4 linked regions of the Caenorhabditis elegans genome follow. The protein of the gene in region 1 purifies or fractionates together with the protein of each later gene. This does not show direct contact. Each region holds a gene or a part of one and is shown on either strand. Other genes may lie near its edges.

The links.
Region 2: the proteins of npp-7 (region 1) and npp-12 fractionate together in Caenorhabditis elegans (co-fractionation; one large-scale study listed by BioGRID). This does not show direct contact.
Region 3: the proteins of npp-7 (region 1) and mel-28 fractionate together in Caenorhabditis elegans (co-fractionation; one large-scale study listed by BioGRID). This does not show direct contact.
Region 4: the proteins of npp-7 (region 1) and npp-19 fractionate together in Caenorhabditis elegans (co-fractionation; one large-scale study listed by BioGRID). This does not show direct contact.

The regions. Positions count from the first base shown.
Region 1 is NC_003279.8:5,690,249-5,698,018, reverse strand, and holds npp-7 (RanBP2-type domain-containing protein), read right to left. Parts: upstream 5,756-7,770; 5' UTR 5,754-5,755; coding exon 5,558-5,753; intron 5,484-5,557; coding exon 5,323-5,483; intron 5,230-5,322; coding exon 4,624-5,229; intron 4,416-4,623; coding exon 3,723-4,415; intron 3,446-3,722; coding exon 1,734-3,445; intron 1,686-1,733; coding exon 1,464-1,685; intron 1,395-1,463; coding exon 1,331-1,394; 3' UTR 513-1,330; downstream 1-512. Other genes in the region: Netrin receptor unc-40, read left to right, coding at 6,579-6,597, 6,798-6,881.
Region 2 is NC_003279.8:6,445,689-6,453,313, reverse strand, and holds the start of npp-12 (BIG2 domain-containing protein), read right to left. Parts: upstream 6,011-7,625; 5' UTR 5,983-6,010; coding exon 5,828-5,982; intron 5,780-5,827; coding exon 5,631-5,779; intron 5,589-5,630; coding exon 5,224-5,588; intron 5,176-5,223; coding exon 4,914-5,175; intron 4,868-4,913; coding exon 4,689-4,867; intron 4,623-4,688; coding exon 3,339-4,622; intron 3,289-3,338; coding exon 2,364-3,288; intron 2,315-2,363; coding exon 1,945-2,314; intron 1,870-1,944; coding exon 1,713-1,869; intron 1,667-1,712; coding exon 1,488-1,666; intron 1,421-1,487; coding exon 903-1,420; intron 854-902; coding exon 525-853; intron 482-524; coding exon 166-481; intron 121-165; coding exon 1-120. Other genes in the region: T23H2.3 (Transcription termination factor 2), read left to right, coding at 6,850-6,918, 6,970-7,461.
Region 3 is NC_003281.10:4,784,355-4,792,094, reverse strand, and holds the start of mel-28 (Protein mel-28), read right to left. Parts: upstream 6,016-7,740; 5' UTR 6,015-6,015; coding exon 5,924-6,014; intron 5,880-5,923; coding exon 5,742-5,879; intron 5,684-5,741; coding exon 5,435-5,683; intron 5,389-5,434; coding exon 5,281-5,388; intron 5,237-5,280; coding exon 4,320-5,236; intron 4,272-4,319; coding exon 4,152-4,271; intron 4,109-4,151; coding exon 3,624-4,108; intron 3,571-3,623; coding exon 3,056-3,570; intron 3,006-3,055; coding exon 2,662-3,005; intron 2,612-2,661; coding exon 1,523-2,611; intron 1,468-1,522; coding exon 1,375-1,467; intron 1,325-1,374; coding exon 1,232-1,324; intron 1,187-1,231; coding exon 1,094-1,186; intron 1,048-1,093; coding exon 745-1,047; intron 698-744; coding exon 386-697; intron 310-385; coding exon 82-309; intron 37-81; coding exon 1-36. Other genes in the region: enu-3.2 (ENhancer of Uncoordination), read left to right, coding at 6,916-6,975, 7,034-7,381, 7,496-7,633. UniProt on the Caenorhabditis elegans protein: Nuclear envelope protein which has essential roles in assembly of nuclear pore complexes and in chromatin maintenance during the cell cycle. Appears to be a stable structural component of the nuclear envelope during interphase.
Region 4 is NC_003280.10:10,796,145-10,800,467, reverse strand, and holds npp-19 (Nucleoporin NUP35), read left to right. Parts: upstream 1-1,988; 5' UTR 1,989-1,991; coding exon 1,992-2,065; intron 2,066-2,131; coding exon 2,132-2,205; intron 2,206-2,254; coding exon 2,255-2,527; intron 2,528-2,577; coding exon 2,578-2,969; intron 2,970-3,019; coding exon 3,020-3,204; intron 3,205-3,383; coding exon 3,384-3,450; intron 3,451-3,493; coding exon 3,494-3,574; 3' UTR 3,575-3,815; downstream 3,816-4,323. Other genes in the region: set-14 (SET domain-containing protein 14), read left to right, coding at 4,180-4,323.

The sequences.
Region 1 (7,770 bases):
AAGCAATTTCCTGATGTACATCTCGTACTCAAAAACGCACTAATTTATTCGAATGGGTCTCGCCTAGATAGAAAATGTTATGGTAGCACGTATTTGTTACTATTGTGATACAATTTTGAGCTTGTGTTTTTGAACATCAGTGCCTCAATTGGGGGAACATAACTTCGAGTCATCATACTGATAAATTCCTCTACCGACAAATATGATTAAGCCATTCGGAGATAAGAAGAATTAGAGACCCCCGGTAAAGAGGGAGATAAATTGAAGAATAAATGAAAATCGACCAAGGTCTCATTTCATCTCTTTTTTGTTTCCTACAACATCGTTAGTAATAGTCATCGTCTTTTTTTTATATTTAGCTATCTATCTACCTACTTAAAATCGATAACCTACTCATATTTACCAAGAGTTGGTGGAAAAAGTAAGTAATTTTATTGTTTACTTTTGAATTGAGGTGGGAGGAGGTTCTGTACTAATCTAGAGACACAGGACGTGCAGCCAATCATTTCAAATTTTGTTTTATTTTCACACCTTTATTGATTCCAACCTAGGAAATACCATAACGAGACAAGTGGTGGGTTTTAAATGGTGGGAGTGGTCACAACAACAATAGATATAATTAGATTTCCCATTAAAAATTAATTCTTGAAAAAAAAAATCGGAAAGAAAACATTCAAATGAAAACAAAGGGGAAGTAGCTCTAGCTAGAACTCAAAAGGCTCGGTGTTGAAAACTTGAAAGTTGTGTTTCGGAATTTGAGCAAAATTAAATGGAAATGTGTGGGGGGGCTGTCTAAAAAAGAAAACAAAATAACGGGTAATCTAAACATTTTTGAAATCAGTCACAGCGAAAAGTGTATTAACCCGATGGTAATTTTGAATAATTTGAATTATATTTTGAATATAACAGTTTTTAAAGACTTTTGAATGGGAAGAATCATTTGATAGGAGACATATGGGTATATATGGGAGGAGGGGTTAATAGATGTAGATAATTTTTAAATATAGAACGGGGGACAAATACTACCGGGGAAAAAGGGAATGAGGATAGAAAGATAACTAGGGTTTTATGTAGAGGACTGTTGTGGAGAGAAGGGGACACTCCAAAAAACGTTTCGAGGAAAAGAAAATAAATTTTGATAAACATGAGGCGAAATTTAAAATGGGAAAACGGATATGTTTTGTACAGTTCCTCTTCTCTACTTCACAACAAACATACAATTAATTAAGGGCAATAAGGAAAGAGGGAACAACAAAAATGGTATGATTGCAACAAAATATATTTCTAATAATCTAGATTAAATGACGAATGTCGATTAACAACTTTTCCATTACTTTCTCATGTTACGGCGTCGAGCCATTGCCATTTTTCGGGCGCCGACACCACTCGGAGCTCTGCAAATAATAACAATTAATACTTATGTACTTTTGAATTAATTGGTTAAAGTTGGAAGAGAAACTTACTGATAAGAAAAGGCGTTTTCCATTCCACCAGGTGCTGGAGCTTGTGGAACTGACATGTTACCACCAAACTGGAACGCTCCACCTCCTGGAGCAGCAGTCGGAGCTGGAGCTGAGGTGGCAGCATTTCCAAACTGGAAAACTCCTCCGCCTCCTGCAGTGGCGCCGGTTGTGCTGCTAGATGCACCAAAGTTGAAGCCATTATTGGACGTGCCACCGAACGGGCTGAAAATAATAATTGTTTTCTAGTAACCAAAAAATGTTGAAGCTTACTTAGAGGAATCAGCAGGTGCTTGACCGAACAACGAGTTCGTAGATGAGCTAGAAGACAATCCTGGTTGTGATGGCTTGTTTCCAAATGCACCAAACACTCCAGAGGTTGATGTTGTCCCGGCGTTTCCGAATGGGGTCGCTGTAGAGCTAGGAAAACCTGAAGTGCTTGAAGAGTTTGATGTCGAAAATGCGGGAATGCTTGAGGATGAAGGCCCTCCGAACATTGGTGGATTTGTAGAAGCACCGCCAAAGAGTGATCCACTTGTGGTTGAGGCAGTAGAGGCAGGGTTTCCAAAACCAGTAAACTTTGGCATCTCAACTTTTTGCTGGCCGCCGAACTGAAGCTTCTGTGAGTCGGATGAGAACAATCCACGCTTTGCTGGTGCCCCGTCAGTAGTGGTTGTTCCTGAATCGTCTCCAAATGAAATCGGCTTTCCGAAAATCGAAGAAGTTGTCGAATCAGCAGGCTTTGTTGTAAACAGATTAGTTGCTGTGGACGAGGATCCTGCACCGAAAAGGCTGGTTGATGCTGATGCCGAGTTGCTTCCGAAGACATTAGTTTTTACAGCTTCTGCGGTAGCTGTGGACACTGGTGCTGCAGCAGTCGTTGGATTTCCGAACGAAAGCGTAGAAGAAATCTTTGGAAGTTCCGTTTTGGAATTGCCGAACATTGATGATCCACCGAATGATCCAGTAGATGAGTTTCCAAACAATGACATGGTTGGAGCAATTGTTGGAATAGCGGATTTTGATTGAGTCGAATCTGTAGATGATGGAAGAGCAACAGAGACAGGAGTTGTTGTGACATGTGTTTCCTTATCTAAGATCGATCCGAATAGGCCTGGCTTCGCAGTCTCTGTCGTGTTGGTTTTGTTTAAATTGAAGATAGATCCAGTTGAACCACCAAACAATGATGATCCCGCCGTTGGCGCCAAAGAACTTGTAGACGATGCAGCACCTGGAGCCAAGAAACTTGTGGTAGCTGAATCGGCAGGTTTGGCGATATTTCCGAAAAGAGATCCAGCTGTTTTGGGAACTTCTGGTGCAGATGGTTTCTCGACTGGGGCTGATGAAACAGCTGGTTTCGCCGAAAGCCCAAAGGCTGGAGTAGAAGTTGGCGCAACTTCTGTTGTCTTTGACAGTCCAAATGCAAATGCGCTTGGTTGGGTGGTTGCTGTACTTCCACCAACTCCGAATGAAATAGTAGACCCTGTGGAAGAAAGTGGTTTGAAGGCCCGATTACCAAAAACATTCGAAGATGCTTCAGCAGATGCATATTTGACATGTGAGCAACATGGGCATTTATCATCACTGGCCTTATTGCTAACCATACAATCAGGGCACTCCCAATCAACACGTGTACCATTGGAGGATGAAGTTACAGCAGCAACAGGAGCAGATGCGATAGTAGTAGGGGCTACTGGAATTGTGGCAGGAACAGTTGTTGGTGGTGGAGCAGTTGTCTTGGGGGCTCCAAAAAGTGGTGCCACTGAAGAACCGCTTCCGAATGGAATTGTGTTTGAAGTTGTCGATGCAATAGTTGTTGTCGTTGAAGCACCTGATCCAAATCCGAACTTGACAGTACTTGGTGTATTCGATGCGAAACTACTGAGATTTGATACAAGCTGCTTTTCGGAAGGTTTTGGTTGACTTTTTGGACCAGTACCAGATCCTCCTGGACGTGCTTCCCCACATGCCCCACATTCCGATAGCTGAAAACAAATTATTTGTCAATTTCTTAGTTTCTTTTCCGATGAATTTTTATACTTGACAATTTTCTGAAAATGTGAGACTATGCTCTAAAGACACATGATGTACTTTTCAGCGAGACTCGTGACGACTTCAATTATTTTAGTTGAAAAAATGGAACATTTCGCGCACGCTTTCCTAAACCCACGAAAACTGTAGACTAAATTTTGTTATTAATTTTAAGTAAAACATAGTAGACCCAGTTTAGAGTTTTCTCGTATCAACATCAAAATTTCTTACCGTAGAATCCCAACTACAGAAACACGATTGACATTCCCATTTTTTAGAACCAGCATCGACCACTGGAGCTGGAGCAACCACAACTGGTTCTGCATCTTTGGCAACTTTTGGAGACGAATCCTTTGAACTCTGATTGGATCCTCCGGCAGATGAGATAGTGTCAGCGGAAGTTTGTGGTCGCGACTCTTTCACTTCACTACCATTCTCCTCACCGACGTCTACTTCTGAGTCTTCTGATTCTTCGGAATCTGATTCGTTTCCACTGCTTTCAGATGTTTGCTTTTCTGTCGATTCTGCATTGCTCTCACTGCTGGACTCGGATGCTTTATGTGAGCTTGCCGTACTTGCGGTTTTTGCAGTTCCAACAGCAGTAACTAAATCAACTGGAGCTGTGAATGAGAACGCGAGATCGTCCAAAAACCCGCGCTTGGGTGCATATTCTGGCGCCAATTTCAGAGGTTGTGGATTCTGCAGAGTTGTTGTTGGAATTGGTGGAAGTTTCTGTGAATCCTCATCAACTTCTTCAATGTCATCAGAGAGTTTGAACGTATTTCTACTAACTGGTTTCCCATCAGGTCCCTTCATAATTGAGGCATGTTGTTTTCGACTATTTGACGAGTTTATGGTGGTCGTGGATGCAGTTGATGCTGTCTTCTTTGGAGCTGGTAAGTCCAGTGAAAACAAGGAGCTCAGCTGAAATTTAAAAAAGTTAAGATAAAGTCGAATAATTTAATTATCATAATTTTAAGTTTGTTATAATTTCTGAAAATTTCCCAATGAAACGTTTAAAAATAAATACTAGACTGTGATAATCTCGTGTCTAATTTTAGAAAATTTGACCAGAAAAACTTTTTCATAATTCTTGTATCATTTTTTTTCAAGTGTTTAAAATCCAGGTTACCTCTGCAGTCGCAAAGTTTCCGTTCAATGATTTCATTGAATCAGAAGATCCAGTGTCTCCATTTTTCGACGATGTTCTTTTCCTAGTTAAATCCGTCCAATAAGGAGCACGTCGAGCGGACATTCCCATAGTCTTTGATATGAGCTGTATACGAGATGGAATTGCGTCTCCAGCTTTTTTCAATGGAGGTGGTGGTGTGCCAGTTGCTGAACCATTTGGAACCTTGCTCTCGCTAAACGATCCCCATTTTTCTGGTCGAGCAATGCCAGCTCGAAGCATTGACATTCTCTGAACTTCTTTCGCGGGTGTATTTGCACCTTCAAGCTTTTTGAAAATTTCTTGAGTTCTTGTACTTAATGACCCGTTGGTAGTTGCTCCACTTCGTCGGCTCAAAAGTGAGAAATTTGTGATAGATGAAGCAGGAGAATGATTAGCAGTTAACTCTCCACACCAAGTCATATCCATTTTCCTCTCATTATTCATTGAACTATTAAGAGTTGGTTCCAGTAATGATCTGTTCAGGAATCGACTTCGTTTCACACTCTCACTTCGAAACGATTGTGGTAGAATCTGCTTGTCGAGCTCTGTCAGTTGACGTTTGCGATTCTGGAAAAAAATATTTCGATAGCATTTATCAACAGGTTTAATCTAATTTTTCTGTGAAAACACATTAATAAAAAGACAACTTTAAAAATTTACCGTGGAAACCGCAGGAGTGCTGAAGAAAATATCTGGAACAGCGTCCACATCGATCTCTAAGCCATTGGATGCACTCGTACGCCGATCCAATGCAGTCGGACTGAGGTATCGAAGACGTGATCCGATGCGATGGTTTTGTGAGGTATTCACTGAAGTTTCATCTGGAATTTAAAAAATAATGAGTTGAAATTCTAGTGCCATGTACTGATATGAAAGTCAATGTGATTAAACTTACCTGAAGCTATTTTAGCTTCATTATCTACGGATAATATATTTTTCAATGCTGGAGACGCAGAAGGAGACGATTTTGAAGACGAATTGGATGTACCTTCATCATTCGACTTATCGCCGTCTTTGCTTTTAGTGGCACTAGCTCCAACAGAAAAGAAGCGGCCAACCGATGAGAAAAACCCTCCGGATTTATCGGACATTTCTGAAATAGAAAAAAGTTGTTTCGTAATTGAGACTAAAGCTGAGAGAGACTGAAGAAATTTTTCTGCGCCGTGTCAGAAATTCTCGATAAAATAAAATTCTTCAAAAACGACACTTTTCGAAATACTTTTGAAACGCCTAAATGAACTACTGGAAGTACCAAAAGAACATGACAAATGCACCTAATATGTTTTGGTAAAAATTCCGAATTATTGATCGATAACACAGGTCAAAACTACAGAAATCATTCAAAATCGTAAATGTTTAAATTTAGGCCGCGCCAGTAAACGCAGCATTAAGCATTAAACTTGATATATTTTTAAGGCAAAAAACCTTTTACCAACATTGAATTTTCGAAGGAAAGAAGTGTAAATTACATTAAAAATCAATAAAGGAATTTAAAATCGCAAATGGCGCGAAGACGATTAAAAAGAAATTTTCGAGTGCGCACACGCGACGCATACGCGACGCTTTCAACGACATTTGAGAGGTTAGAGTGCAGACAGTTATCCTTCCATTAACAACATGAAGAGGGTGCAGAGAAACGAGAGAGTGTCCATTCCACAAGGCCACACCCCTTCAGCTGGACACTTCTGGAGCTCTTTTGACGACGTTCGACCCTGTTTTTGACTCTTTTTCCGTTAAATATATTTATTTTCTATTCAAAATTATTTTTAACGACCTCTTTTCCATCTTTTTTTCTGTGTTCAAAAAATGTGTTCAAAAAATCCAAAGGTAAATAAAAACATTATTTATTTCAGACCCTCTGCATCACCAATAGAATGCGATAATTCGACAGAAGTTATTTAATTCATTCAGTAGAAATGATTTTGCGACATTTCGGTGAGTTCCATCTTTTTATCTTATCAATTTTAATAATTTCTCCGTGGAAAAGTTTTAAATATTGTTGTTATCACTTTTGTGTTGATACAAATAAAATTAAAATCCTATAATTTCGTAGTAAACGAAGTATCTAAACCCGAACCTCTGAAAGAAAACAAAAGGAAATTAAATAAAACTTCATTACTATTTATAATTTTCAGGTTTCATTCTTATAATTCTGACAGTTTATCTGTCATCTACTCATGCCACAACACGGAAACATCATCGTCGATCGATTGATAATGGTGAGAGTTTTTCACATTTGAATTCAAAAATATATTAAAATGGGGGAAGGAAGATGACCATCTGGCATTCTGTCAAGGTGTCAGTCACCGGCAACATAATTTATCGATTCAAGAATGGAATTTTGAAAATAGAAAAATATAAATAAAAATCATCTTAAAGTCAATACTTGGCACTGAACTACCTTGTGGCTATTTTTAAAAAAAATTGACTCCATAAAAATAATACAAATCCAAGAAAAGTTACGTTTTTTTTAATACTCTTACCTATAAAACACTTAGTTTATCGTCGAATTAATGGTTTTACTTTGAAAAAACCTTCTTTCAAAATTATTCTCAATTTTCGAGTTCCGATCTAGCAGAGTTGTTCAGCAATCTTTTAGTTCCTTCACACCTTAAAGATGGAGCAGCGATTTTTTTGTCCCCAGAAGAGAGACATCTTGAACGTTTTCTAAATTATGGCGGTTTAGGGAAAAATTAAAATTTTAGTTAATTTTGACTCCGCTTTTGAGAAGCCTCATTCCGTCACTCGGGGCCTTATTTCACTACCCCACGGTGGGTACCACCTTTAAAGAAAACTTGACGCCAAATTGTAGCATTTTTCACTACAAACCAAAAGTGGATAGCTCAATTCCCCAGATTCTCTAGGCGTTTGATGTTCGAAAGATTGTAATCTCTACACAAAATCCACCAGATTCGTTCATTTCATTATTGTGTGTGTGGGTCCCAATGGTTCCACATGAAGTCTTCTCTCTCTCTTTTCTTCTTACTCTTGGAATGAATTGTGACACAAACACACACACACAAAACGAAATGCCATCATCTTCTTTAGCTTCCACCACACAAATCTTTCTCTTCCATCCCCTTTCGATTTCAATTGATGGATGAGGCA
Region 2 (7,625 bases), 760 kb from region 1:
AAATTCCGATAACTAGAATGATGATTCCGACAAGACAAGTCCACAGCAACGTTGGAATAGCGTGAGAGTACTTATGTGCAAGAATCAGAAGAACATCTACTACCCCACGACTTTCAAGTGCTGAAACGATTAGGAATTTTATTGAATCCTGTAGTTGAAACTTACCGTTGTATACTTGTTTAGCAGTCTCATCCAACAACTGAACAGTGACAGGAACACGAATCACTTGACCAGTCAACGTGTTCTCAACAGAAATTTGGCATTTCTTTGCATGTTCAGTGAACAGAGCTGCTGATTTGATGTTGAGACGGATGTTATAGAACACATTTGCCTTTGCAGAATGTTTATCACTTGATCTTGAGGTTTTCTCGACCGATACAATATCTCCTTCACATCCAGAAACGACTATGTGCTTCGAGTCGTATGTAGGCGCCCAGATGGAGAGAGCTGCTTCGATTTGATTCATATTTGAGAATACGAGCTGGAAAAAGTAAAATATTAAAAAAAAACTTCGTGTAACTGACCTCCTTCTCCTCGACAATAAATGCGAAATGGAATGGAACATCAATTGTAGCATCATTTACTTGTACTGTACCATCTGAAATCCATTTCGCAGTAATTCTAGCATCAAATTGATCTTTCAATAGTTCCTCGGGAACAACAATTGATGAAGTTGAGACACTCGAATCAAATCGACGAATTTCACACCCATAACCAAAAACTGGGCTGAAAACTGCTGAAACCGTCAGCCAATTGACAGCCGAAATGATCTTCGAACGACGAGTGAAAGCAACTTGACATTCAAATGGAGCACCAATCGCATCAAATGATCGAATTTGATCAGCAGTGCACTCTGAAACAACAAAGATGAGGATGAAATGTGAAACAACAGCAAATCTCACCTCCATAAATTGACGAAACTTTGCTTCCTGAAGTATTATTGGTTGCAGCAATGACAGGAATTACGAATACCGAATGCTCATCATTGCTCACAAACTCTGGTTTCTGACCATCAGGGAAACGAAGAGAAGATGGCAATACAACGGAGATCTTCGAATGAATTGTTTGTTTATCAGCATGAAGTCTGATAAAAGTATTTCCAGCCTTTGTGAGTTGTGCAACTCCGAGATTCTCATCGAGCCAACTGATTCTTCCTTCACTTGAACTTTGAGACGACCAGCGAGATCCGTCTACAGTGAAAATGTTTGATTGAAGACAAATCACATCAGATACAACAAGATCGTTTGCATACTTGTGAGCAGCTCGAGGAAGGATTGATTCAGACGCAGAAAGACGAATAAATGTAGCAATGTGGGTATTTGAAGCATCACCAATTCTGAGAACAGTATCTCCAGCGGTTTTCAGTGTGATTGTCAGTGTCTGATTGCTGTTGGTGGCGACAATATCGGTCAAGTCGAATCTATAAGAATACCGTGAATATCTTGGATCTTAAAAAAACAATTTTCAAAGATCGGAATTTTCCTTACCTATGTGGTCTGAAATTGATACTGTTGGAGGCAGCCGCAAGACGACGACCTCGAGCATCACGTGGAACAACGTTTAGCTGGATTTGGGCTCCAACAGGAAGATGTATGAGTGGAGAATTCTCAAAAGCACTTTTAAGTTCAATTGTTGGGTGAACATCGAGAGAAGCGACACGAGAAACCTGAAAAAAGGGAAAAGTGAATCTACAAAAATATAGCGTTTCTTACAGTCACAGGAATGAGAACAGTTTCATTATCCGGGCTGTTCACATTACGAACGGTAATTGCAGCTGATCCTTCTTTTCCGTTTGTTATCAAATGACCGTCCGCAGAAATGACGATCCGGCTCGAGAAATCAGAAGGAACTGAGAAAGATGCTTGAGACCTGTAAATAATAAAGTTGAATTAATGAAATTAGAGTTGTTTAAAAGGAGAACAATCTGCAAAAATATTCACTTACCATGCAGTGACCATCTTCAATTGAGAATTTGGCGCCACTCTGACAGTATTAATATCCATTTCTGGTTGAACTAATGAAAGTCCATCTTCCACTGTAATTGTTGTTTCAGCGGTGAAAGTAGAGGTTCTTCCAGTGAAATGCTTTCTTGCCTTCTCATTAAGCTCAACAACCGCTTTCACTGTAACCGATCCTCCTCGAATAGCATTGAACCAAATGGCAAATTGATTATCAGTTGGTTCGACTACATCTCCACCGAGGGGATGAGTTGTGAATAGAACAGATGGATCAGAAACGCTCCATGTTACTTTGAACGGGTAAATGGCTCCACCAAAAGCAAATGGTTCTTCGTCTTCAGCTCCGGCGATCACTCCTGAAGAATAAAAAATAATTAATTTTTTTGAAAGAAAAGTGTCACATACCTCTTAATCGTAAGTTTACTCTTCCACCAGTTTCCACTTTCCTGCTTGACGCTGACAGAATAATTCCACCGAGAGAGGCAACACGAAGAACAACAGTATCCAAGGTAACATGACCATCACCAACACGAACAGTTCCGGTAATTGCTGTATATCCAAGTTCTGACGACGTAATAAGTGCATTAGGCTCAATGGATGCAATCATTGAATTATTCAAGGAAAAATCGAGTGGTGGCGTCGGTTGAGGACCTCCAACGACTTCTAACTGAAATTTGGAGTCCGGAATCAAAGTCAATCTTTTTGGTTGCAAGAAAATAGGAGAGAAAATCTGAACGGTGTGTGGTCTAGATGAGAGTACACGTCCTGATGAAGATTTTGATGATGCGGACAGCGATACAGTTCCAATTGAGTTGGCACGAAGAGTGTAGCGAAGTCCGTCAACTTTGGTCAAAATTACATGATTGTTACTTGCATCGAGTTGAGCGTCAGCAAGTGGACGATGTTCTTTTTCGAATGAAGCTCCAGTTTCGTCTTGAGCCAGAATCTCTACTTCAACTTCTTGTCCAATTTCCACAAACTGCGGTGCGTCAATCGCCAATGAATGAATATCAGCAATTCTTACGGAAGCATCGGCATGTTGCCCAACCAAACAAGCATCAGAAATACGAAGATTCACTTGTCCATTATTCTTCGGCGTAACTGTGAGACTTCTTGCACGGAGAGCAATTGCAACTGGTGAATCTGATGTTGGCAGATTATCGACATGGAAATGGCCAGATCCACCAGTTATAGTGAACGTTCCTTTTGAGACAGCTTCATTCCAAAGAACGAGACGTGCTGGTTCGACGTTCAATCCTTTTTTCACTGTGATTTCATATTTAGTGGAGAGAGATCCAGCTTGAGCTTGAATAGTAACTTGGCCTTCTTTCTATAAATATATTTATGTGAAAAAAAACTTAGTTTTCAGAATCAACTCACCTTTCCAGAAGTCGCATCTGCCTCAATTCCATGACGATTAACCGTCAAAAGACCAGAATCAGAAGTAGTCCATTTCGGTGAAAGCCCGTTGATTGAGGCCAACGGAGTTGCAGCTCCATTACAAACTCCTGATCCACGGAGAACGAGTTCTACATTTGTATTGATAAGCATTGAATGAACATTCAATGGGCACTTGGATGGACGTTGTTTCTTGTCAAAAATTTCAAGACGAGTTGGCTTTGCGCAACAAATCGAAACTGTAATTTCAGAGTGAATTGGAAGTGGAAGCGTTGACGATTTGAGGTTTCCAATACGAAGACGAACAGCTTCTGTTACTTCTGAAGATCCACACTTGAACAAAACTTTTTCGTTTTCAAATGTGACTTGAAGTTGCGATTGCTTTGTTTCTTGTGTTTTGTAAAAGTTTGCTGGATCCAAAATCCACGGTCTTGGTCCACCAGACACAGTCAATGGGTGAGTACTTCCGAGTGCAATTGATGAAGATTCTTCGGAAATAGACAATTTCTCGTAGACTGCTACATCGATGCTCGCTTTGTGGCCCAAATAACTGATGGACACTCGGGCATCTCCTGATGACAGTCCTTTGAAAGTTATTGTTCCACAACCAGTGCCCATCATTGGAAGCGACGAATCAGCTGAAGACTCGTGCCGAAGCAACGCATTATCCGTAATTTGAACATGAGCACGGATATTTCGACAATCGGACATTTCAACTAAAAGTCCATCAGATGTGAGTCCGGTTGCCTTGATATTTAATGTAAGAGTATCTCCGACGAATGTCTCACGGACAGTTTCTCCAAATCCGATTCCAGACACTTCGAGAATATGAACACTGGCAATGTCACGAAGCTGATCATTTCTCTTATCAGTTGCTTTCACTTTAGTGCTTCCTAATGAATTCGCAGTCATTCTTCCAGTTAGCAGATCCACCGTTGCCACGTGTCCATCTTCAGAAGTCCACTCAAACAATCCACTGCCTCCAGTTGCTGTTAGATCAATTTGTGATCTTTTCTCAGATACGAATGGCAAATAGATAACCGGTGGAACAATTCTCACAGGATCAACGATAGTTACTCGCTGCTCTCCGCCAATTTTGCCACTTTGTGCAATTCGATTTCCCTTGGCATCAATAATAGCAACAAATTTGGTTCGAAGAGTAGTTTTTGAGGGTTTCAGTGGAGTCACAAGGAACCAGGTACCATTCTCAGACTTGAAATCCACATGAAGAAATTGCTCATCGATATGAGTGTCGAAACGGGAATTCTGAAAAGTTGTAAAATTTAAAAATTGACAGCTGTTTTTTGTTCAATTTTTCAGAGCTTAACTTACATCAGCAACAAACATAACATTTCCGTGCTCATCAAGAAGTTCAACGTTGATTGTATACTGTTTTCCGGTTTCTAGCATCCAATTATCTCCTGAAACATGCCATTGGACAGATTCGGCGTCTACCACATGAATGACAGTAGATGGTGGACGTAATCCAGCTTTAGCGCGCACATCGACATCTGAAAAATTCTTTTTGAACGAGAAACATCCATTTATGCAACTCACGGCTGCTCAAGAGATGTACTGCAGTGTTTCCAATCGTCAGAGCTCTCACAGATGAACTTTTTTTATCGAGCGACGCCACATCACCACCATCAATTTGAAGTTCGTATGACGGATTAGGCATGTTCACTATTTCTGTTCCACGCTGCTTGACAATTAAAACTTGGAATGGAAGAACTGAGTGAACTGGCAAGTAAACATCTTGAGATGGAACCAAAAGTAAATTTGCGACGACGGCGAGTTCGACGTTGTGCGCTGCTACTTTCTGAAAAAAAAAACATCCTAGGTAAATGTAGTTTTGCAGATTGCTCACCTGCAAATAAGCATCACTGAACTTGGTTGTCAATGTGGCTGTTCCTGTTCCAACACCTTCAATCAGAATTAGATATCCTTTCTTTCGATTCTTTTCCAGTTTAACAATTTCAGAAGGAGCTTCATATGTTGATTGCTCGAATGGAACAATTCGTAGTGGTTTCGCTTTATTTGAAGATGTTGATGCAAGCTCCCATTCCAATGCAATTTCACTGAGAGTAGAGAATCGATCGCCATCGGCGTTAAATGCGTCAACAGTCATTCGAGCAGGGGCAGCGTCCACGAATAGAACTTTCGTTGTTGTTTCGATGCTAATAGTTGCGATCTCATCTACTGTCACGCCGCAACTCAATGTTGTGCCGGATCCTTAATAAAAATTTTAAAACCAACATTTCACAAAAATTATACCTTTATCTTCTGCAAAAATAACAGCAGACAATTCCGAACTTCCAACAGTTCCAGGCTTCGCAACCGATCGAATTTCAGCTTTATCCGAACATCCAGCTTCGTTAGTTTCGATACGTTTAACAGAGACAATATCGGGACGAGTAGATCTCCTGCAATTAAATATATTAAAAAATAATTAGATCATTTCATTGAGTTACCATGTAAAACAACCTCCGGTTGGATGCGTTACTTCCAGCACAAATGAAACTGGGACCGTTGGATGGTACGGTAATAAAACTCGAGGAACATTTAGCCGGTATGATATTGTGATTTGCACTAAAGCCAAAACGAGCAGTGATCGAAGTATAATCATTGATCTATTCGGCTCTCCTACCTACAAAAAAATTAATGAAAATTTCTCTTATGGAAAAGGAAAACAGGTGGAGATGAGAGAAATTTATGTATTTAATATAAAAGTTAAAGTTAATTAACTATAGTGATCATGCATTAAATAAATAGTAGAATAAAAAATAAATTTAGCGATAACTCAGATCGGATTGAAGAAAAAAGAAACTGAAATTCTGCGAAAAAATTCAAAATTATTTCGTTGTACGCAAACACGGCGCGGTTCTTCACGACAATGAACCAATTTGGTGACCGTAGTTCATAATTCTAGATTCGGAATCTGAAGAAAAAGCGTAATTGGGGAAAAAACATGAAAAAACATGAAATTAATACCGTGAAATAAAATGCGCTTTTTTCCTTCTCGATCAAAGATATATTCATATTACCTCAAAAAAAATTTTACCTAACAAATTTGCTCGTAGATCTCTTTGTTATGGTTTTTTCCTGATATTTTCATTTCGACACATATTGCGACAACACGTGTTTTCATCAGCAGAAATTATTTGACAGTTATTTATTTTAAGTTACTTTATGATATTTTCAATAAAACGTGCTCAGAAAGTGCACAATGAGACGTTTCTTCTCGAGTTTCTATGTCTCCAAGACCCGGTTTACGAAAACCCGTGTTGTCTCGAATTATTGCAAGCGCGCTCCACTGCACTTCCATTTTTGCGCGAAGAAATGTTTTTGCAGTTTTCCTTGAATTTTTGTGGGGTTTTCAGAAAAACACTTTTAAAGGCACAATTTTGTATTTTACGTTAAGATTTTCCTAACACGTTCTTTTTTCCAATATTTTCAAGCCAGAACTGTTTTATTTCACGACAATTATTGCAGGATGGCATCGTTTCGTAAGAATCACGTCATTATTGATTCCTCAGACTCGTCGGAAGACGAGGATCGCAAGGTTTGTTCGAGTTTAACATTTGAATTTTGCTTTAAAATTATTGAATTTCAGGAAAGACACAGCTCCTCATCTGAAGTCGATGAAACAGCTTCAATGAGATCAACTGATAGCTCCGAGCCGCCCAGGACAATTATTGATGCCTCTCTGAATTCCATGGCTTCAACCGTGTACACATCAACTCCAAACTCCAAGCAGAGCATCTCCAGAACCGGTTCCTCCACCACCTACGGGAGCTCTAAATGCTCCACAGACGATCACTATCGTTCGAGAAGCTTCATTGACAACAGCTTCGAAAAACCAGTGACCCCGATCACCAAGAAGCTACAGGAATCCGATGAGCCCCGCGCAAAGCAGCAGCTCCGTGAGCGGCTCCTCAGAAAATCCATCAAACAGCAATCGGATCAAGATCTGACAGGTGGCTCATCGCGAAGTGGATGGGGAACTGGTGAAAATAGCAGTCTTGAAAGCAGTGATCTCATAAATTCGCATTTTTCGCCAATTGCGAAGACGTTCCGGCATGCTTCCGATTTGGATGATTCAATGGTAAGAATGGGGAAACATTGACCTAAAGCTGGCTCAAAATTCAAAATTTCCTTTTACTTTTTTCCGATATTTATCCAAAATTTCACATTTTACTTGCCAGAAATTATCTAGAAAACGATTTTTCAAGCGAGAAAATCACTTTTTGCAAGTTTTCAAGCCAACGT
Region 3 (7,740 bases), on another chromosome or scaffold:
CTCTTGTTGTACATCAATAGATGATGCTCGAGATCTCTGAAAATAATAATTTTGAAAAAAAATTATGTTTTGGGATCATACCGTCACACTTCTAGACTGTTTACTGGTACCAGCTTCATTAACCGCGGCATTTTTCTTTTTTGGGGTCTTCTGCTTGCTATCATCATCGATCGATTCGGAATTTGCTCTGGATCTAGCCGTTCGTTTGGAAGACCGTGTAGGTGTGGCTGGTTGTTCGATATCTGGAGAGGATGAACGATCTTCTTCATCTTCTTGATTTTCGAATATCGATTTAGGCTTGGTGCCACGCTGAAACGAAAACAAATCAATTTACAATTTATGAATACAACATTTTTAATTCAAAAAAATAATTAAAAATGCTTACAGCTTTACTTCCAACTTTAGGAGATCCTGCATCCTTTTTGGCGGGTCTTCCTCTTTTTGGCGTCGTCGGTGCCGATTTGTCGTCCTGATTAAAGTCGATCGTTTCCGAATTGCCCCTCTTTCTAGAAGTTGTACGTTTGGTAGAAGCAAGTGCAGATGACGATGGGTCAACAGTTGTATTTTTGACAGATGCAGAGCGAGTGCTTCTTGATGCAGGCCGTTCCTCCTCCGCTTCTTCTTCTTCTTCTTCTTGAACTTCCATTGTAACCTCTAGCGGGGATGGCATCTTTTGGATGATCGATTTTTTACCGCGCTGAAAATGTTCGAATAGTTGTATGATTAAACGATTAAACAACGTACAGTTACACTTCCAGCTCTACTAGAAGATGTACTAGCTGCAGCCTTTTTCGTGGGAGTTCTTCCGGTTTTTGGTGTCGATCTTCCATCATCTTCAGACGACTGCTTGCTAACAACCTCAGAAGTTGCCCGAGTCCGACGCCGAGTTGTCATCGCAACCGACGTCTCATCTGGTTCGGCAACAGTATCATTCCTAAGCGATGTGGAGCGAGTTCTTCGTGACGCTGAACGACTTGGAATTTCAGACTCCAAAACAGATTTATTTGCTGCCACTGTCTTCTGGGCTGATGCGGATCGAGTATTTCTCTGGAAATATTGAACTAAATTTTTAAAGAAATCACGAGAGACTTACTGATGGAGGTCTATCTTCCTCGATGAGTTCCTCTGGCTTCTGGTCTTTTACCTTTGATGAAGATTTTTGAACAGATGCCGACCGCGTATTTCTCTAGAAAAATACACATATAAATTTCAAATTTTAAAAACAACTCACGGATGGTGGTCTATCTTCTTCCGTGACTTCTCCTGATTCCGAAGTTTTCTCTTGGTTAGATGATTTTTGAACAGACGCAGAACGAGTGTTTCTCTGAAAACATAAATTTTATTTCTGTCTGTCAAATTGATGACGAAACTGACAGATGGAGGTCTTTCTTCCTCGACAAGTTCTTTCGGATCCCGGTCTTCCACTTGTGAAGTAGACTTCTGGACAGATGATGAGCGAGTGTTTCTCTGAAATATACAATTATTGCCGTTTTTCCTCAAATTTTATTTTATGGTATCTTACAGATGGTGGTCTATCTTCCTCAACAGCTTGTTCTTGAACTTTATCCGCGGTATCTTCATCACCTGTCGGAACTATGTCAGGCTCTTCCTGTAACTCTTCCTGCAGTTTAATAGACGATTCGAGAGATTCGTTTTGAGGCTCTTCCGGAATCACTGGCTGCATAACTTCAGGTTCTGGCTCTTCCTGTCGTTTTTCAGTTTTTTCAGGTTCTTTCGCATCTTGCTGAACTTCTTCAGATTCAACTACCTCTTCTTCATTCACTTCTTCAGATTTACTCTCCAAATCATCGGCTACATCAATCGTTGGTACAGCTTCACAATCCTCATCCATTTGAACCTCGAAAGATCTTTGAACTCCATCCCATATATCTTCATCTTCACCTTCCTCCTCAAGAATACCCGTTTTATCGGTTTGTAAATGACTCAAATATGTCTCATCGGTTGGTGGCATGACGTCATCATCTCGTACTTCAAACGTATCTTCCATGGGAGGAGTTTCCGAACCATTTTCTGTATTTGCAGCTTCTGGAGCAGATGTATCTTCGAGAACCTCGAAATCGTCTTGGTTTTCGAAAGTTTTCTCACTTTCAATGCATTCATCGTTTTCTTGTTCTTGATCTTTTACTTCTTCCATCTCATCCACTACATTTTTCTCTGAATCCTTCTCCTCGTCATGTTTTCCCATAGACCGTGATTTTCTAATAGTCATGGTTTCCTCTTCTTCATCTTCAAGAATTGCAAAGTTCAATGCAAGGCCTTTCCGACCATTGTCTTCAATACTCTCGTCAGCACCTCTTGGAACGTCAGCACGGAATCGGATACGGCCTCGACTAGCCGATTGGCCACCTTTAGCTGTTTTCAGAATACTGTTGTGAGCAGAGACTGGCGGCGGTCTGTTTCCAGCGGGCGATAGAAATCCATCTTGAACATTTTCCTCCTCATTATGTCGCTTGTAATACCGTGCCGGTGTTGCAATCATCATATTGATTTCTGCATTTTGGTGAGAATCCGGACTTGTGATACTGTTGATACTCGAATTGTTGGCAACAGATTCGACGGCACTCTTCCACTGTTGAATTCTCTTCGCGGTCTGTAAATTTCAGAATCTTGGTTTGTACTATTTAACTGCAATAATCTTACAGGTGGCACATATTGTGATGACGAAACACTACTCTCATCGTCTTCACCAAACTGACTTGATTTCCGCTTTCTTTCTGTTTTGTCATTGACAGAAGCGAAAACTTCAGGCATATCTTCGTCGTCGTTTTGCACCTTTCTCTCAAACATTTTCTTAACTGAAATTTCGATTTCCTGTTCTTTCGCAGTCTTCTGACGACCTCTTCCATCCTTCTTGATCATTCCTGGCAGGAAAGCCGATAGCAATTTGTTGGAACTAATCGCTTCTGATGACATTGCTTCAAACTTTTCGTTTTCAAAGAGAAACATTTGGTAGAGAATCTCAGATTCCGGATCGAGAACTGGCACTGGAAATTAAAAAAAATTAATTGGAAATGAGACTGAAAATCTATCTCACATCTAACTTTTCCACCTTCCATTTGCATTTTCATTCGTTGTTCAAATCGCTGTAAATCGTGTTTTCCGATTGTCACTGTCATCGGAGCATCTTTTCCCCACAATTTCTCATAACTAATCTCGTCATCTTTCATTGAGAATACTTTCTCTCCAAGTGCTCTCATATCATCCGATGTCTTGCTGCTTGTTAAAGCCTTCTTTCCTTGGTCCAGAATGTAATAAATTTTCTCCAAGTTAACGTTAAGCATTTGATTTGTCATGATTTTGATAGTTTCAAGTGCCAATTGTTTTTCGCTGTGTTCAGAATCTTCAGGAGATGTGGAAATCCAATCAATGACATATTGGACAACGAGTTCTCGTTTAATACTCTCAGAAATCGAAACATTCAGCAGGCATTCCAGCAAATCGAGAGGTGTTGGCGGATACCATTCGTCATGTGGAATATCGTTCCAGAATTGAGCATTTGGAGCTTGACGATTCATTTTTCGAACGACTGATTGAACGGGTAGAGATGATCTGAATAATTTAATCGTATAACTTTTTCTTAAAAAGGATTTTTCTAAACTCACGAGTTCTTTCTCGCCATATTTTTTCTCTTTGAATGTAAATCCTTCATTCTTTGCTGTCTGATCGGGTCTACAGGAATGATGGCAAAATTGATGAATTGGCTGGTAAGTTTCGTATGGTTTCTCATACATATCACAGAATGGGCCAAATTGCGAAGTCGATCATCTTTTAACGCTTTTGAACAGGCTTTCAGATATTCGTAAACAACTCGGAAAAGCTTGATTCCCTGTGCAATAGATTCTTCTGCTAGTGGAGAGAGAGCAAGTGATCTTCCCTGGAAGAGTGAAACCATCTTGTCAGAAATAGTTCTCTTGTAGTCAACAGCTTCGTGAAGTGCCCATTCTGCTAATTCCCGTTTTAGCGTGTCACTAATGTCAGGACGAGATGCCAATTGACAAAACTCTTCAATTTTTCCGTAGTAGACGATAACGTTGAGAAGAACCTTTTGATCAGACGATAATTGAAGTTCGTTTATTTCTGCGGCGCTCTGAAAACAATTTCATCAATTTAACTTTAAAAAATAAGCTCACCGAATTGGGAGATCCAGACAGAATATTTTTTCTCACTAAACCAGCTGCCATAACAACGCTGGAAATCATTTCGGGATTCCTGATGAGAGCAGGCAGTTTGACGGCGCATTTGTTCAAAATCTGAAAAAAAAACCGGAATAAAAACAATCTCAATGCCGATAAATTTACCGTGTCCTGGATGTTCTGGATCTTCATCCAGTCAATTCTGGTATTCTTGGCAACAAAAACCCTTTCGAAGCTTAATGCTGACGGATAAAACAGTTGATCTGCGTCTGAAACCATGCTAGAGAAGCTGGATACATCAGTGGCCTCATTTGTAAGAATTCCGATGTCATTTACATCTTCTGATCGGATGTTAGACTTTATAGTTGATAAGAATGCACATTGCTTGAGAACAGTTCCATCTGTAGATACTCGACCGGGAACTCTTTTGTAGTACCATGAATCTATATCAAAAATAGCTGCTTCCACAATGTATTCTGGTTCAGCATTCGGGTCTTCTGTGCCGATCACCATCTTCTTTCGTTCGTATGCCAAAAGAACAGAGTTTCGATTAGAAGTTGATCCGAATGTCTGAGAAACATTGTGCATCGAATCTTCCGTTCCTCGCTTTCTTGTGAGCATCATATGATCTCTTTCAGTAACAATAGGATTCACAGCCAACCATCTTTCTCCGAACAAAATCTTATGTTCTAGACAAACACTGAATGATGGACGGTCGTACTTTTCTTCTCCATCAACATCCTCGAGAGTTTTGAAAGATCCACGCCAAAGTTGAATCATGATTGGATGACGAGGTGAACAATCAACAGTGGCGATGAAATACTCAAATTTGTCGGGATCATCTTCTGGTTCTAATGGAGCAATTTTTCTGACAAGTCGTTCGTGTCTCAATTCCAAAAGCATCATCTGATTTGAAGGATTCAATGAAGCTGCCAGAATGCCTCCCATCGATAAACCGACAAGAAGAGTTCGACTTCTTGGCATCAACGATAACGCTGAGATATACACGGCGGCGGTTGGGTATTCACGATATGCTCCATCGTCCAAAGTGTACTGAAGAACTGAACCGCTGACGTAAGCATCTGAAACACACTAATCAAATTTGTTTAATCTTCGGGAAACTTACTCATTAGGTTGATCAAATACTTTTTCTCACTGTGAACTGTGATGACAGGACTTGACGGCGTCTCAACAGCAACTAAACGAGCTAAGTAGCATTGTGTCTCCTTGCAACCTGGAATGTAAATTTGCAAAGTTTTCATTCAAATTTGATTTATTACCAATTGCCACAATATGCTGCCACGTCATCAGTCGATGATAGAGCTTTAAAACTGTTCTCTGTGTTTCATCAGCCATGTCGGCAGACGAAAAAAGCGTCTTCACAACTGTAATTTTCGATGGAACTTCCAGTGAGTGTGTGATTGTCATGGCTGGTGAATCCGGATCAACTGCCAATGCAAGAACAAAGTGCTCGGCACCGCACGACTGACGAGGATCTTCAACACCAACAAGAATTCCGAGCTTTCCTTCTGTAAATAAAATATTTTGAAATCAATAAAGAAAATATGATAGTAATAAAAAACTTACCTTCTGTTGGAAAATAGTCCGCATCGATCAAAGCACATCCTTCAGGGAAAACGAACGAGTGAGTTACGCGTTCCCATTCGATATCGAATATTTGACACGTATTCTTTTTAAAATTCACAATGTAGGGAAGTTGACGACCTGAATGAATAGAATAATGTTGAATCGATAGAAATATGAAATACCAATTGAATCCTTCAAAATAATTTGCTTTTCTCCCCTCCAACACTCGTATCCTTGATATGATTTGAAAATGGACGAATTTTCATTATCCATTCTGAAAAAAAATAAACCTTTGCACATCGCAGCTAATAAATAACATTTAAAGAAGTGAGACAAAGAAATTATCAATTAAAATAAGTGGTTTTAGAAGTGCGTAGCTTAAAATAAGGGCTCGTCCGACTACATTCAAACGACCGGGAAAATTTGTTTTCACCAATACGCAAACACCGCAACGGAAACATACGGACTGCGAAAACAAGCGAAAATGGAAAATGCTTGCAAAGGTTAGAAGACGCAACGAAGAATGTAGAAATTGAATGGAATTCTTAAATGAAAAAAATCAATTTGAATGATTTAAATTGGAATATAATCCATATTACATCATTATCTTAAGAGAAGCACATACTTAAAATGACGTAAACCAACTTTTTAGCATTTTCAAATGACTTCTAAAAAATTAATGGAAACCCTTAAGAAACATACATTTTTTGGAGCAACGAGCGTAAAGACTGTTTTACTCAAGAAATGATAAAATGATAGGCGCATCGCGAAACCTTGTATTTTTTGAAGAAAAACCTTGTTTATTGAGTGAATAAAATTTGACTAATTGTAAAGGAACTTTTTACGAGAAATTCTTCGAAAACAAAATTAACCATCCGCGAAAAAAAAACAAACAAAAAGGAACCCAAAACAGGATGCAGGGGCGGGACCTATTCGCAGCCACCGCACACTTTTTTCGCAAGCCTCGCACGTTTTTTCTTTTGAAAAATGCAACAATATCATGGAAAAACGTGCGAGGCTTGCGAAAAAAGTGTGCGGTGGTTGCGAAATAGGCCCCGCCCCTACTCACGCGTGGCCACGTGGCACACGGCACACGTAGCGATTGAAATAAACAAATTATAACTTAAATTAGTTTGTGAAATCGGTTTCTCTCCGACACACGCGTCACTCAAAAATGCGTATTTTGCGTATTTTGTTTTCATTGGTAATCTTCGGATTAATAGTTCATGTATTGGTGAGTTGCCTAGACATCCTTCGATTTTTCTAGACCATAATGTTTCACCATTTTTCAGCCAACAACCACCACACCAAATGTGCCTGTTTCCGCCGCTACGAACACTTCAAACGTGACCGCTCCTGCCGGCAATTCGGCAAAAAGTCCTAATGCGACCGCTCCTGCCGGCAATCCGACGAAAAATGTAAACGTGACCGCTCCTGCCGCCAATACGACGCAGCTTGCTCTTGTGAGCTCGGCGAGCCCTCAAACCTGCAAAAATGGAAACGGCACACACTGCCCGTCATGTGCATACACGATCAATGTTCACAAGGACACGCCGAAGTACATCGGATATGGCATCCTGATCGCCTTCGTCATTTTCCACATTTTTTTGTATTTCTACCTCGAGGATCAGAAGGCGAGGGTAAGTGAAATTTTGCCAGTGGCCTAGCTTTTTATTGATTTAAGTTATATTTAATGAAAAGCGAATTGCGTACTACACGTGGACAACTTTCAACATACGAAACCTTCTTTTCAGGAGCAGAAGAAATATTTTGAGGAGCTCATCGCTGAGCAGATGGCGGCTAGGAAGCGAGAAGAACAAGACGATCAGCAGCACGAGGATGAGGAGAAGGAACGCCGAGAGCGGTTGGCTTATGGAATTGCCGCGAATCCGGTACGTTTTATTATCGATTTTTTTGCAACGTGGCCTAGAAAAAGCGAGAGCTCGGCCAAGATCTTTGAAGGTGGCCGAGTTTTCGCATTTCGCGGCCACGACGTAAA
Region 4 (4,323 bases), on another chromosome or scaffold:
TATGAAAATGTTGAGCTTTCAATTCTATTAGCGCTGCACACGTTTCCATTTTTAGAACTCATTAAAAATCTCAAAAGCATTGAGAAGAGATAGAGAAAAAAGAAAACATCATCATCATCATCAACACATCCTGTAGAGTGCTTTTAAAAGGAAAGAAGAGAGGAAGAAAAATGTGAAAAAGAAGCGTCGAGAGCAACTTGTTGAGTGAGTGAGGGGGGCACAGAAGGATCACATCCAATTAGGATTGAATGAATGCTGTCGTACACACAAGAAAGTGGAATGGAACGATGAGTAGAATAAAAAAAGAAAAATGATGGAAAGGGATGCACTTGGGACACATTGCCGAAAAAAAAACGAATCGTTGCTATAATGTTCTTCCGCTAGTCTTCATAGATCCCGTTGCCAGGTGACCTCGTCTCCAAAAACTTTCTTAAATTTCGAAATCGGAGAATGTGTACTCCACGAGAAGAAGAGTGTGCGAAAATTGCAAATTTTGCAACCTCCGCACGGTTATGAGAATGAGAGCTCAATGAACCTTGCGGAGGTTGCAAAATCTGCAAGTTCCGCACGGTTATGTGGGTGTGGCCAATACCATCGTTTTCTATTCTCAATTTCTGTTATTACGTGGTAGTCTAAAGATGAAAGTTTTCGGGTCTCACCACGCTGAAATTGGGTTACTGTAACTGGACCAATATTGTGCCATTTTTAATATTATATTCAAATTCTTGACAGCAATTTTCGATTAAATCTGAAAATTATGATACTATGCTACCCGTAAATGGAGACGAGTTACAGTAACTCGGCGTGGCGAGACCTAAGATTTTACGAAATTTTCCCAATTTTGACGTCTACGTAATAATTCCCTCTATCCCAAAATTTGTTTTGTAACAGTACGGAAATTGTAATTTCCGTACGGTTTTATGGGAATCACAGTTTGAAAGTTTCAGTTCAAAAATCAAAATCTCATCTTCTAAGAGGCGGGGCGAAAACACCAAATTTGACGCGCAAGTTTGACTACATCATCAGGTCGCCACTTCTGCTCCAGTCAGAACCAACCACATTTTCTGAAAATAAATTACATCCGGTTCGGTCCGAAAACTAATATTAAATACAATTTTCATTCAATTCATCATCTTTTGGTTTTTTTTCTTTCTCATTTTGACCAACCCGCAAATATTATACGACACAGGGGGCTATATAGTCGTGCGCGACGAAACATTTTTCTTTCCCAAAAAAGGAATGAATTCTCATTTTATTTGATGAAGAGGCGGGAAGAAGCTCTCCGAACGTTGTGCTCTGTGTGGTCAACAAAAAAAGGTCGACGACACAGAAAAGGAATTTAATTAAATGGGGGACCCCGTCGTCGTGCATTTCTCAATTTTCTCCGTTTTTTTTTGCAATTAAAACGAGGAGGAGTGAGAAGAAACGAGTGGTGCTCGTTGAAATTTGAAAACGAAAATTAGACGAGGGAGTAGGTCAAAGGGAAATAAAAACAAAAACATCTGAAATGTGTAATTAAATTTCTAGAATTTTTTAGAATTCAATATTTTATGGATAGGTATGTACTATAGGGGTCGGCGGTATTATACAGTAACCCATACACGAATTTCACTTTTTTCAGTGTCTAGTGTTGAAGAAAAAAAATCAAAGTTCAAACAGAAAATCGACTTCATCAAAATTACAAAACATCCGATCAGAGAAAAAAAATTTTCTCTTTATTTCCCGCAGAAAACCTCCCAGCAAACTTTCACCACAAAAACCCTATTTTAAACTCCCTCCATTTTCAAGTCCGCAATTGCGCGTAGCTTTGCGTGTTTTGTCGTTGCGGACTTTGATTTTTCAAACAAAAATGTTTTTTCTTGGAACTTTTCGAACCTGTTTTCCACTTTAAAAAAGCGGTATTTTTCAATTCTTTCTTTATTTTAAATTTGAAAAACTTGTTTATTGCTTAAATTTTTAATTAAAAAGCATTTTATTTCGAAATTCAGGCCATGTTCTCGCATCTTAACCAAAATACATCCGGAAGGCATAACTCAATGGATCTCAACAATTCTAGTATTTCAAAGTGAGTAATTTGTTTCTTATTTTGCAAAAAAAAAACCAGTTTTTAATACTAAAAATCTAATTTTAGCTTCGGGACACCAGTTGAACAGTCTACGCCGGCACTTCTTTTCGGAAAGCGAAAGGCAACTGTTCCATCTTCGTGTAAGTAAAGTTTATCTTAAGTTTTCTCAAAAATATGATAATTATTTAGACACCGCTAGCCCGCTCAACACTGCATCGGCACCATGTTCGGATATTTTCGCTGTTTCTGCACCGGCAGTGCCGCAGCATTTGAAGGATACACCGGGCTCTAAATCAGTTCATTGGTCTCCATCTTTGGTGCAATCTGGTGAAAAGTCGGCGGCACAAACACAGAATACACCTGCCAACTTGTCTTTCGGAGGAAATTCATCATTTTCGGCGCCGACAAAGCCAGCTCCTCAGTCGATTCAGACATCATCTTTCGGTGGTCAAGCGATGCATGGTTAGAATTTACATTTTTTCGCGAATATTTAAAATAAAATTGATTTTCAGCACCACCTCTTCGATCTCTTCGCGACAAAGTTGAACCAGCGAAAAAGATCTCCAGACGAAATACATTCACTGCCAGATCAACACCACTTTCCACTCCAATCACTCAACGAGTCACATCCAGGTTGGCTGAAGCAGAAGAACAACCAATGGAAGAAGAAGCCGACGCAGCTGATACCTGGGTCACTGTTTTTGGATTTCAGCCAAGCCAAGTGTCGATTTTGTTGAATTTATTCTCGCGGCACGGGGAAGTAGTTAGTCATCAGACTCCATCAAAAGGAAACTTCATACATATGCGCTATTCGTGTGTCACACACGCTCAACAAGCTATTTCTCGAAACGGAACTCTCCTCGATCAGGATACATTTATTGGAGTCGTTCAGTGCACAAATAAGGTAAGTAAAAAGGATATATTTATTTTTTATTTTAATTTTAAAATTTACAGGACGTGATCAACGGCTCAGCATCCGGAATTGTTGCTCGATCATCTAACATTGCTGCAGCTGCAAACCGATCTGCTTCCATGTATAACTCATTTGTGGAGAACGATATGGCCGATCAATCAGTTAATCACAATGAGAACAGTGTGCTCAACTCGTCGAATGTTTTTGATGCAAATAACTCGCTCAAGTATGATTAGAAATTTTTAGTAAAAAATTCATAAAAATCTAAATTTTATACTTGAATCTGCTAAAGCGAAGTTTGTAGTTTGTAGTCTAGCGCTACTCCACTTTGAAAATGTGAAAAAGAAAAAGTTAATTTTTCACAATTCAATTAATATTTCCACAAAAAATTGTTTATGTTTTCAGTTCTTCTCGTATTTCCGTCCGTTCTGGTGTCGGAATGAGACCATTGGCTGCCGATCAAAGAACAAACGTAAGCATTTCATTGATTCAATCCTTCTAACCAATTAAAAAAGATTTTACAGGGAACCCCATCGGTTCGCAAGGCACCTGACGGATTGCTCAACAAGTTCTGGAACACGATCGGACTCAACTAATCTTTTTGCTCATTGGAAATATCGCCCATTTTTCTGTTTTATTTCACCATTTTTTTCTTTTGTTGTGTATCCTTCTTTTTCGAATTTCTGAAAACAGTTTCGTTTCTCACGGTTTTTCGTTCTCAAAATAATTTTATTTATTTCGGTGTATTCTCAATTTTCGGACATTTTTCCTTCCCTTCTTCCCGTCCATTCCATTCCCATTCAAAACTGATTCTATGAATTGAAATGAAGAAAACTCATATTTTTATATTGTCGATTATAGAAGACGAGTTGCTAATACTCGAAAAAAATATTTTTTCAAAAAATGAGGCTTTATTGACTGAAAAACATCGATTAAACAAATTCACTTCTATGAGTTTAAAGAAGGGCGCATTATTGCAGAATGGTCTCGGCACGAATGACATTGAAAATTGTGTGTGGGTGTGTGCCTTTAAAAATACTGTAGAGATTCTTTTATCGATTTTTCTCATTTTCTTCAATTTTTAATTTCAGAAAATTATTTACAATCGATGAAGTTTTTTTTAAATTTAATTTTTTTTATAAAATTTAATTTTAAAAAACCCGTTAAAAAAAAATTATTCAAATAATTCTTTCAGTTCCCAATGAATCTTCCCCCAGACGCCCTCCACGAAAATGTGTACGCATTTGCTCTTGCACGAGATCAAGTCGAATCATATTGTAATCAATGCCTTACGAGTATGGCAGAACTCAAAAAGTGCAGCGCCTGCCGACGGCTTGCTTATTGC